3 linked regions of the Oryzias latipes genome follow. The protein of the gene in region 2 binds, or shares a complex with, the protein of the main gene of each other region. Links are inferred from orthologs where the notes say so. Each region holds a gene or a part of one and is shown on either strand. Other genes may lie near its edges.

Region 1 (3,763 bases), on a different chromosome or scaffold from region 2:
ATCGGCCCCACAGCCGAGGAGGCATCTCATCCAGAGCCAGCAGACCCGGCCTCTGATCTGCCATCCGTCTGTCTTTCCACAGCACTCTAAGATGCTTTTCCTAAGACAAAAAAGAAAAACGTTTTCTTTTTTACTTAGCAATGATCGGCTCAACTTTTGTCTAGAGGCCTATATTTTTCAAAAATGAAGTGTGAATATAATCTTTCTTTGGTGAACATGTTAAACTATATGCATTCTCTGTACAGTCCTTCCAGCAGTATTTAACTATGCAGGGAATGGCTTCCCTCCAACAGCTATAAATTAAAAAACAAAAATAAAATGCAAACGCTTATTTGATGCTATATCTGAGGTTGGTATCCAGCCTCCCATCTGTGCAGAACAGCTCATAAACTTTCCCCGAAAAAAGAGGAATGTCCGATTTTCTTCAAATAGGGACGTAAAAGCTGCTGTCAATTCTGCTCAAATGCACCTACAATGTAGGAAGTGTAAATAATGCTTTGGAAATCATTTGCCTGTACAGTCTTTTATTGTACTTTTTTGGTAAACAAAACAAAAATCATCCAACTGGATCATGTAATGAGTTAGAAATTCAATTGAATCAGACAATCTATAGCTTCAAAAGGCAGTTTTCCACTTTGCATTGTCTTTTAATCTGATTTTTACAAAATAAAGGTTTATGCAATCTGCTGTAGAATGATCCATTTATTAGCAACATAACAAATACAAATTACATGAAATACAGGAAGCATTTACATTTTTTTATTTCACTTTAAACAAAAAAGGCCCAACGCTGACAAAAATCTTAATTTGGAAGTCCTTAAAAAAGGAACGAGGCTGACATTTATTTCTTTCCTTTTTTTCCCTTTTGGGGTTTTGAACTCTTTTTAGAATATTTTGCTTCCAGGTCTGACAGGAAACTATTAAAATTCTTCTCCCTGGACTGCTGTCTTTGCTGAAAAAAAGAAAAAAATAAGTTATACTGAGGGGAAAAAATAGTAGCAGCTCTAAGATTTACACATGCTAATGAAGCTCACCTTAAGCATCATGACGAGACTGTCATCTTTGTCACTGAGCCCCATCTTTTTTTGCATTTCTTCTGCTTCTTCTTTTTCTCTGTCAGCCTAAAAGATCATTACAATGAAAATGACAGAATCCAGTTAATGATTTCAAGCCGCCACAGGTTTAAAATCTCACCCTCTTCCGACGAGCCCTCTTCTTCTTGTCACTCTCTTGGGTAAACGAGGGGAAGGCTTCAACCTCTCCACTCTTGATGGCGGCTTCGATGATGCCGCACAGTCTGGGCTCATCTTCCTGCGAGCAGCACAGAGCTGACGCCATGATCTCATCCAAGTCCCCTTCGTGCTGCACGTAAAGCCGGATCACGTCATCCCGCTCCTCATCTGAGCCTTTGTATTTCTTTTCGAATTCTAGGATGTCCTGCACTGTCACCTACAAGACAAAATCAAGTCAAGATGGGGTGAAAATACCAGACTCCTGTAGTTGCATCGTGCATTTTTCTCATTTATATCTAACTTCATCCTGCAATAATAAGACAAGCTCTTGTTTATGTGGACATAAATGTCAAAGTGCTCCAGTACCTTAGGAAAGAGCAATCTCCAATAGTCTTCCCAGCAACGGTCCTGACGAAGGACATCTGATTCTTCATCAACTACTCCTTGCTCATCATAAACAGCCCTCTGCTCCCGATCTGTCAGCACTGTGTACAGTTTTCCCAACACCTGCAACAGATTACACGAAAACTATTTTAATGTGTTTTACTTTAAAGCAACATCTATCACAGAGATACCGTTATGCTAGGAACATTGTTAAATTACTGACATAACATTAGCATAAGTGATAATTACTGAGCAAACATAGTAACTGAAAAGAAATATGGAACATTTCTGTTAAATAATTTTAAGTAACAAAACGTGTCTAGAAACATTAGACCTCTAAATAGGTAAGAAAAGACTCGCGTTTGGTTTTGCGCTGCAAACTCTGTCAACATCTTCCATGTTTCAGCTTAGATGGTATGTTAGCTTCGTTAGCTAACATCGATACCTAGCTTATTTTTCTATTGTCGTTTGAAGGCTAACAAAGAAAAGAAAAAAAACGAGCTAACCTGGAATTTCTCCGTCGCCTGCGGGTCTTCGGGGGCTCTGTCGGGGTGCACTTTCAGCGACACTTTATAGTAGCTCCTCCTTATCTCCGCTTCGGATGCTTCTTTGCTTACTCCCAGCACTTCATACAAATTTGTGCTACTAAAGAGTTCCTGGCACCGCTCGAGCAAACCCATTGCGACCGTCTAGTTTAATGAAATACGAGTAAAATAAGTTAAAAGTGAACGACTGAGGACGTAAAGCGCAATGACAGTGTTGATATTAGATTAGGTTCGCGTATAGTTAAAGAAATCTGCCCTCCACGGTACTTTTCTCGATCATGTTAGTTTGGCGCCCTGGCCTGCCGCTTGCGCTTTACGTGACACTACGTTCTTGCGTCATCATCTAACGCACAATCCTATTGGCGAAGACGTTCGCACGTGCTACTGAACGGTGTTTTCAATTTCAATATCAATTTATTTGTTTTGTAGGATAAGCCCCTTGAAATGTGTCATCTCGTTTTCAAGGGGGCCCTCGACATACAACAAAACAACCAAATACCAACAGATTCAGCTCACCAAACTTTACATATTTTAACATTTTACCAATAAAAACGAATAAGATTTGAAGTAAGAGAGAACTAAAACAGGTTTCTCTTTTAAAACGTACTATATATCACACATCAGAACAAACAACAACAACAATAATAATAATAACAATTATTATTATTATTATTATTATTATTATTATTATTATTATTGTTGCTATGTTTATTTATTTTTGCGGTATCCTATATGCAAGTTTGTACATTTTATTTAGTTTTTTTCCCCCATTGCACTTTAACAGCAGTTTTGTTAAATTTATTGAAGATGCTACAATTTGTGTTTGAGTCTTATTACCACCAATGTTTCTATTAATGAGTTATATTTTTTCAGCTAAATGGTCAATCTGATGAGAAAAACTTTTACTTAGCATTTACTTTTGAACTGGGTTTGCAATATAGGGGTGGGTGATACTGGGAATTTGGTTATCAAACTGATACCAAGTTATTACAGGACTAGAATCGCCGATACCGCTAGGATTACCAATACTAATATTATACTTTCTTCTTAAAATTTTTGATTTTAGAATAATTTTGGAAAACCTCAATTTTTTGTTAAGTATAATAAAACACAGGACATAGACTTTCTGTGAAAGAAAAATGTTCATTAATTCAGCTTCTAAACCCGTTTTGTCTCCTTGTCACGGGCCTGACGGAGCCTATCCCTGCCACTTATGGGCAAAGGCAGGGGACATCCTGGACAGGTCTGTCGCAGGGCCACAAATCACACACCCATGGACACTCACATTCACATTCACACCTATAGGGGCAATTTAAAGTAACCAATTAACCTATGAAAGTGGGAGCAAGCCGGGCTCCCGGTAGAAAACCCATGCATGCACGGGAAGAACATGCAAACTCCACACAGAAATGTCCCCCATTGGTTTTCTGTTTCAGGTCCTCCAGCCAGGATGTGAAGCGGGGGCCTGCTTGCTGTGAGGGACAAGCACCACTGCACCACCATACAAATATGAACTAATTCCAATCTAAACAGAACATGAATCAAATATAGAACATGTATGTTAATAATAGCAAACAATATCAATACTTCACCTTGGTATCG
Region 2 (4,267 bases):
GTCATTGTGGAGTTGATCACCCATAGGTTTGATCCCAGAGGGGCGGAGCTACCTTTGCACATGTCACTAATCTTTTCCTTGAAGACATTGTGGCCGTTTTCATCCACGTGGGTCCGTAGGAAGTTCTTGAAGCGGTTGTAGATTTCGAGTCGTGGGGCTGGCATGGAGACCCACTCCCTGACGGTGTGGCCCTGCAAGGAGGGGGGGGGGGGGGGGGGGGGGGGGGTCAGACTTCCACTGTTGAGTCAGAAAACACCTTCAAGTTTGTGTGACAAACCTTCATGTCCTCCAGGTTCTCTATGCTCTCAATCATGTCCTCTTCTTCCCCGTCGACGATGCCTTCGGCCGCACGCTCGGCCAGCCGACGACGGCGAGCAGCGGGGCGCTCATCATCCTCATCTTCACTGTCTGAAAACCAACAGAAGCCTCCTGTCACACACTTCTGCCGTCTATGGAGAGACATTCATGAGCAGGCTCCTCACTGCAACTTTGGTTAGAAATCCCCGCCTTCAGCTTCAAAACAGGAACCCGAGCCCCCACACAGGAAAACGTTCTCCTCACCGTACAGCAGGCCTCTCCTCAGCCGTCCACTGACTCCCTGCTCTCGGTCTCTCCTCCTCATCTCCTCCTCAGCTGCAGCTCGGGCTCCAGGCGACAGTTCTGACAGGTCTTCATCATCCAGGTCCAAGCCCTCTGCCTCGTACCGATCCAGCTCTGGGATGGCCCGATAATCCCTGGAGAGCAGAGGAAGGACTTCAGAGCCCTTCATACTGAAGGAACAAACATCTGTGGAGGGGTTCAAATCTGGACTCTTACCTCTCCATCCCATCACCGATCAGCTCTTCCCCTTCATCCTCCTCCTCTCCTGGCAGGGGTGTGCCCCCCAGCAACCCCTCAGACTCATCCTCAAAAGGGGGTAGGTCTCGCCCCGGGCTGGATGTTGGGTCTCCTCTCCTGGGACCTGGATTTGGGCTGGTGACTCCATGGAATGACTCGGAGGAATCCTGAGGAGAAGACTGTTTGATAAGTCTGCAGTAGAAGAAATCTGATTACACAGGGGGGGGGGGGGGGGGGGGGTGCTAAAGATAAAGCTCAAATGATCGTGTCAACCATGAATACTTTATTACAGAGTAGCAAATTCCTTTTTTTTATCGTCTTTGTCGTGACATAAAAGGTCTGTTTACTTGCTTGAATGTTTTATTTGAAGTCAGCTGAAAACGCTTCTCCCATCACCTCCAGTGCGTGTCTGTATAAGTGGCGCGGCGAGGCTGTGACGCCGTCAATGTGCGACTTTGTAGTTCTTTGCTAAACTAATGCAAACAAGCCCACATCTATGAGGTTAGGGATCAAGCCTGACGAGGTGTTCGTTATCGTGGAGGGCTGATCGCATGTGACAGTAAACGGTGGAATAAGGTTTAGCAATGTGGATTATGGATTACATTTTGTTCTGGTCAATATTTTTGTATTGCTTAAAAAGGCGTTCCTAATGTTTTATGTGTTGAATTTAAGCACTCAGGACCTGATGTATTCTTTATATTTTGTTTTTTCTGAATTGTTCAAGACAAAATACAAATAATACCTCTTGTATTTTTTTCCAAGTTCAAAAATAAGTCAGTTATAATTGGAGAACTTCATAAAGCCACTTTTACTGCAACAGAAAGAGAAGAAAAGCAAAAGGGAAGAGCAGAAAACTGCAATATTAAGAACATTTATTTGTGGTTTTTTTTAACATCACCGTTTTGCTTCATCATTTAAGTATTTTGATTCTTTTCCTACTGAGTGAGGAACCAATTAATGCATTAAATAAATTCAGTTTTTTAACTTAAAAAGAATGTTAATAAAATGTCTTTACCATTTAATTTTGATTCAAACTGCTGCTTCTCAAAACATTTACATTTTTTTCATTGATATTCTCCAAAAGTGGGCCTGTGAAGAAGTTATATCAAGAACGTTTAACCCCAGGTGGGGACTTAAAAACAAATGGCTGCAAAAGGCCCCATGTTATTGTTCGCCCAGGGCCCCCAAAATGCTAAGTCCGCCACTGGTCAAAGCTAAACCTGATGTTTGTTCGGAAGCTGCAGGCTCACAAAAGCTGCTCACAGCTTCGGGATCTTTCTGCAGCTCAAGAACCGGTAGACTGACGTCACGATTGGCCTAATGTAGCGATTTTTTATTTTATTTTCCCGGCATGCCACCGGTGGCCACGCGGTGCTCTTATGAGAGAAAATAGACTGACTTCTTCATTAATGGTGGTACTTCTCATACATTTTATGTGTAACTGTGTGTACTTGTAGTTTCACGTTGTGCGTGTGTAAACTGTGTTTTGTGTTCGTAGGTTTGTGGTGTGCGACTGTACATGTAGTGAATACAAGAAGAACACAGTTACACACTAACTGTACATTTATGAGTTAGAGAATAAGAACTAGTAGTACACACGCGCAGCCGCAAACACATCCATTGAATATGTTCTCTGCCTCTTTCTTTAACCAAACAAACAGAACTCGCAGAGTAAATCCGTGACGACTCGGTTCCGCCATGATTGTGGTCACGGCGGCTCCGGAACGAGCGAACAACCGTTAAAACCCCAAAGCAGCGCGTTGACTGGGTCTGAATGTGGGTCTGGTTCAGTTCCTGAAAAATCAGAACCCAAACCTGTAAAAGTCTGAACGAGTTTCTACTCACCGCCATGATGCTGCTGCTGCTGCTGCCTCTGTCTGCTACAGGACACGAGTCACTTTTCGCGCGAAAGGGATCACGTGACACCCAAAAGCCCGGGAAAAGTCATGAATATGTACGAAGAAATACATCGACAGCTTCCCATTGGTAGATCATTTGAACAGGGGCGGGGTTCGGAGACAACGTGGATGCGTTCGTTTTAGAACAGAACTCACTGAAAGCAGTTGCGACCGCGCGTGCGCATGAGGTCCTGATGGTGTTCAAAACAAACAGACCTCTCGTTTGGACGGTGTTGATGACGTAGAGGCCTTTTGACCGTCAGGCGTCACGCCTGAGACCAGGCAGATGCAGGCGGGGGCGGGAAAGGCGTCTGAGATGAGGAGCTGCGGCCTGCAGGGAGACAACGAGAACCGGAAGTTCACAGGGAGGCTGGAAACTAACAGCTGTGATCAAATGACTGCCAGTCAATTCCTTATGAGACCTGTAACTATGTGATACACTGATTAACCGTGAATTCTTGTTAGACTTTATAGGCTTTATTACTTATGAGCGAAAATGTAGGGGTTATTGCGGAAAAATGACAAAATGTCTTGTGATTTGTGATATTGTACATGTAAAAGCAACAACTTAATGGAGGACTGACACATACAAACAAATCCATCTAAATTCACATTTGAATTTGTGTAACAATAAAGAGATCTGACTAATGAGTATACATCAAATGAAACCATGAAACGTATTTTTAAAAAAGGTGATTTATTCGGGATCTATTATTTAAGGTCATTTGATGAAGTACAAATGTTTCTTTCAACTTAAGTTGATATATTTTTTTATTTTTTTTTCAATCAACTTAAGTTTATTTCTAATATTCCTGTGTGACTGTTGTTTACTCCTTTCTTAAGGGTGTTTATCAGAATCTGAAAGTCTCCGGATGCAGCAGAGGAGTCCCTTGCTGAGTGTTGGTGAGCGTTCCGGCGGGACACCGTTTCCCACAACACATTTAGTTTTTGTGGATTCTGCGGGCGACAAGGGAAAAAGTCCCTACTGCAATCGCCTTGGTGCCTTGCACCCGCCCATTTTTTGCAATGTTTTTATGATGACAGACATGTGACGTCAAAGCAAAAACTACCCAACATGCACTGCACACCAGTCGATCTGCGCACTGCTGTGTCGGTCTGGGTGATCTCAAACATGCCTATTGTAGCTATCTAATCTGAATTGGCTACTGTATCCGTCCACGCATGCCCGAATACAACGACACTTACACAACTTTACGAAAGCAACTAATCAAGCAATCGGATAATTTTTGATTGTGAACACTTTGTCGGGCATTGTCTCTTACATATATGGATATATTTTACTCTGAAAGGCTTGATATAGGCCCTTTAATGTTGAATTCAATGCTGGCAAAAAAAAATGAAATAAAAAAATTTGTTAAGGATCAGGACAGCACGATCCTGCAAAAGACTACGAACGTTTTCTTCTTCTGATTTATTCTATGAGAGTTTAATTTCCAGTGTACAAGGATACAGCGCCACCTACTGACACTTTATTAACTCCACTAACACAGACAGTTTTAACGGCTAAAACG
Region 3 (4,026 bases), on a different chromosome or scaffold from region 2:
AGATGGAGTAAGATGCACACAAGCTATTAAACTTTGATTTATTTTTTTATAATGAAAATGCACAATAATGTCAAACAAAAGCTTTTAGGAAAAACATTTACATATACAAATATATACAATAAACCAATGAATAGTGCTGCATTAAAAAGCCATCTAATGAGTTATTTTTCTTTGCAGGGATGACAAATTGCTAATAAAACAAATTATAATATTATTCCACAGTTGGAAAAAAAAATAGAAAAATATACAATACAGCAAATCAACATAAATATGTTGAAAACATCAGTATTTGGGTCACATGTCTGTCATTTATTAAATTTAGAAAGAAAACGTTTTCCACCTGTATTTACAACAGTTCAAAAGAACAATATAAACGGGAAAAAAACAAAAAAAAACTTCCCAGGAGTGGAAACTCTCACTGGAGGACAATTCTGCAACACAAAAATCACTGTTAGTTCAATGACATTGCGAGTTTCTCTGTAAATATGTAAAATACAGAGTTTATAACACTTTAAACACTGATTTTTTTGCCAGGTAGTGTAAACATAAACAGATGATTTGAGCTTAGAATAAACATCACTGTCCAACAGCAGCTTATGTAAGACCAGCAGCTGTCAGTGTGAGAGTTGGAAGCCATCGAGAAAGACGAGTCAAGACTGAGACCATCTTACTTGAGTCTTCAGATCAGCTTCACGGCCCCATTTGAGATGAGCGGCGCGATGGTGCGATACCGCATCAAGTGCTGCGAGCCCTCTTCCAGATCCACAACATACTCTCTGGCAAGTGAGTCACAGAAAGTTACCACTTGGTTTGCATTCGGAAAAGAACTTCGCCACCTGCTGGTGGGATGGTAGAAATCATCTCATTATCTTGTAAATTAAAAGTTGTTTGGTACCTTTGATCATCTGTTTCAGGCTCAATCAAGATATTTTCTTGTTTCTCTTTGACTCGCAGAAACACAAACGAGTCTAAGCAGGGCTCCGGAACTGCAGTTGCACAAGAGAACATTTCATTTGTCACAAAAGTGATCGCAATACTAAACAATGAAAAAAACAAAGGCAAGATACCTGCTTTGAGCATGTCAATGCTCTGTAGGTTAGGTGGCATCCGCTTCAGCGCTACCGCTTTCAGGTACGCTTCTGTGTTGTCATAATACCTGAAAAAAATATCTGAACGTTTTCATCCATGCAAATTGTTTTGTTCAAAACGGTATAAAAATGTCTGTTGAACTCAAACGCACTCTTTGGCAAATGCAAACTCCTCGGGGGAAAGCAGGGATGGCTCCCCATCAGCTCGAGACTTTTCCCTCTCCAGGACATGAGGGAAAAACTTTTCAATCTAAACAGACAGCACACAGAAAGGAAGCTTTGTCTTTATATTTATAGAGCAAGATTGGAGCTTTACTGTACAACTTCCACCTGACTGACTTTCTGCAGCCGGGAGCGCAGGTAGCTGGTGAGGACAAAGCGGATCCGGTCCACTTCCATGCGATGTATGCTGGCCTTGGTGTCGCCTTTCTTCACTCGCTGCAAGTTGGACTCCTGTTGGCAGAGAAGTTGAGTAGCACTTTACTCACAACGATGGGAAAAGTACACATTTACTATAAAAGAAATGCACCAATGATACAATTAGTGGCATTTTTCTCATCATGAAGGACATCTATAAAGAAAGTTCAAATAAAAATTACTTTAGTCATCATCAATCATTTTGAATCAGGAGCAAACGATAAATGACAAAAGTACGTTACGTAAAAAAATAACGCTGGGCAGGTCACAAGCACCTGAGCTATCAGGAATGGAGAGGGGAAGGGGGGCGGGGTTGCTCTGCACCACAACTCAGAGGGGATTTTCTAATGAACTACTGCTGCTCTGCAGAAACTATGTTCTAAAAGGTTTTCGAATTTTGGATAAAAAAAAAGCACATGATTGTGATTAAAACGGTTTTACAATCGATCAAATCGATGGGATACAAAGTGACCCTTTAACAAGGAAGGCAATTATTTTGTTAATTACGTACTCTATGACCTGATTTAGAAACTGATTTGCAGTCATCTAAGAAACCTTAATAGCATTTACATTATTAGTAACAATCCACATAAACCTCATTTCAACAACTCCTGAGTTTCGAGAATGCTGTTAACTAACCAGTAAGTTGTGGCTTCAAGTGAATCTGTCAATCAAAACTGATGGTGATGAGCATCAAAAGTAGCAGACTGTTCGTGGTTACCATATGAGTGAGCTGCTCCATCACACATTCCACCACTTCGGATTTGTTCTCCTGCAGCTCGGGGGAGAACTTCTCATTCAGCCAAGCCTGTGACTCAACCAGAAGAGCGCAGCAGTGAAGCTGGGGCTAACACAGGATGGTTGCAATCATTGCTTTGAGACGCAAGAAAAGGTTTAAGGTCCTAATAGTTCGATCTCACCTCTTCCAGTTTGGCGATCAGCTCTGCTGGAGTCATAACGTCCTCCTGGCTGTCATCTTCTTGGTTGATCTCGCTGTCATCAAACGCGGCTTCCGACATCGTTTTGTTCTTTTAAAGGGACTAAATTACCTCATATGTTTTGCTACTTCGTATTCTAATTGGCTCATTTGAAGCCACTCAAAGATTCTATCGATTCAATAAAAAGTACTATTTTAAAACGCAACTGCAACCCCAGCGTCTGTGTACAAAGACAACTCTTTATGTATTCGCGCCAAATGTGGTGCTCTCGCGAGATTGAATTGTTCGTGGGTTTGTTCACCCTGAGTTTAGTATGCCAGGCATTCTCATCGTCTGTCATTGGCCAAATGCTTCGGAAAACTCTTAAAGCAAATAAATTATTAATAAATAAACAAAAAGAGAGAGAAAAAAGTTAGGAATAGTTCTTAAGGTTTTTCTTTTGCCACATCCGCAACCGCAGTTACCGGGATTATTCAACGTGATGGAAAAAAAAGAAGCCTGAAATAGTAAAAACTGGCAATTAAACCAACTCATCTTGACTTTTTGTTTAAATTGTGTTTTCGTAATTGTGTAAGCAGAACACGTTCATTGCAATTATGCAGACTAGAACATTTTATAGGCCCGTGCATTATCTACAGTGTAGCAGATCTTTACATTTTAAAGAATGGCCCAGATTGCACTCAGCTGATCCCTTGTTTCTCAATATTCATAAAGACTGTTTATAAAATTTGAATATCAGACAAGTTGGAATGATAGCAAAATAAATACATACAATAAAAATAATAATAGGCATAAATTTTTTTTAACTATAACCCAAAGAATTTAGAAACCCTGATGAAATGTAAGAGTCTCAACATTTCTGTATTTTTGATAGACTAATTCATTCATCCATTTTCTTAACCCGCTTTATCCCTTTCTGGGTTATTGGGTTGCTGGAGCGTGTCACCGTGAAGGGGGGGGAACACCCGAAACTTCAGGGGTTTGAGGGCCGGTGCGTTTGTATGATTTCGACGTATCCAAGCCCCTATCCAAGACCGATTACCTGGTTCAGGTGTGTTCAGCCAAATAGAACATGCCGGAGCAGGGTATGTTGGAAAACATGCAGGAATGCGGTCCCCGAGACTGAAGTTTGCCCATGTTTGAACCAAATGTACAACAAACAGCTATGATGAGCTGCTAAACATCCCTCTGCGGTCTAACTTCAGAGTTGGAACAGTGCAGTCAGGCAGATAAAGTTTAGATAAAAACTACCAAATCCTTCATCACACTATTTGGCAGTGTGATGGCTGCCTACGCTGCCACCCCATCAGGGCAGTAATCTCCTGCACCACATCACCATATCTGTTCACTTTATTTTTTGTGCATATACTTTTAGTTTTCTTTTTTCAAACATAACCCAAACACATGTTTGAACATAAAATTTATTAACATGTTTCAGTTTACTTTATGATAATTTGCTTCATTAATTTGATGTTTTGTTTTGAGTTACCAGTGCTGAGGGAACCATTGCTGCTGCTGCTGCTGCTGCTGCTGCTGCTGCTGCTGCTGCTGCTGCTGCTGCTGCTGCTGCTGCTGCTGCTGCT

What was found.
Region 1: the proteins of mcm2 (region 2) and dnajc9 are in contact, whole or in part, in a crystal structure (PDB 7CJ0), measured with the Homo sapiens proteins. The link is inferred for Oryzias latipes from reciprocal best matches to the Homo sapiens genes MCM2 and DNAJC9. Residues at the interface, in NP_004517.2 of Homo sapiens: Glu65, Glu66, Glu67, Asp68, Glu104; in NP_056005.1 of Homo sapiens: Lys185, Arg189, Arg192, Lys244.
Region 3: mcm2 (region 2) and gins4 share a complex: the UniProt entries of both Homo sapiens proteins name them as parts of the CMG helicase complex. The link is inferred for Oryzias latipes from reciprocal best matches to the Homo sapiens genes MCM2 and GINS4.

The regions. Positions count from the first base shown.
Region 1 is NC_019873.2:17,922,318-17,926,080, reverse strand, and holds dnajc9 (dnaJ homolog subfamily C member 9), read right to left. Parts: upstream 2,509-3,763; 5' UTR 2,297-2,508; coding exon 2,123-2,296; intron 1,740-2,122; coding exon 1,599-1,739; intron 1,450-1,598; coding exon 1,195-1,449; intron 1,122-1,194; coding exon 1,035-1,121; intron 953-1,034; coding exon 842-952; 3' UTR 508-841; downstream 1-507. Other genes in the region: protein FAM149B1, read left to right, coding at 1-56.
Region 2 is NC_019863.2:6,784,003-6,788,269, reverse strand, and holds the start of mcm2 (DNA replication licensing factor MCM2), read right to left. Parts: upstream 2,803-4,267; 5' UTR 2,689-2,802; coding exon 2,683-2,688; intron 1,005-2,682; coding exon 817-1,004; intron 735-816; coding exon 562-734; intron 409-561; coding exon 278-408; intron 192-277; coding exon 53-191; intron 1-52. UniProt on the Homo sapiens protein: Acts as a component of the MCM2-7 complex (MCM complex) which is the replicative helicase essential for 'once per cell cycle' DNA replication initiation and elongation in eukaryotic cells.
Region 3 is NC_019867.2:17,431,803-17,435,828, forward strand, and holds gins4 (DNA replication complex GINS protein SLD5), read right to left. Parts: upstream 2,806-4,026; 5' UTR 2,525-2,805; coding exon 2,426-2,524; intron 2,314-2,425; coding exon 2,227-2,313; intron 1,542-2,226; coding exon 1,428-1,541; intron 1,339-1,427; coding exon 1,241-1,338; intron 1,157-1,240; coding exon 1,068-1,156; intron 987-1,067; coding exon 896-986; intron 777-895; coding exon 680-776; 3' UTR 672-679; intron 432-671; 3' UTR 22-431; downstream 1-21. UniProt on the Homo sapiens protein: Required for correct functioning of the GINS complex, a complex that plays an essential role in the initiation of DNA replication, and progression of DNA replication forks.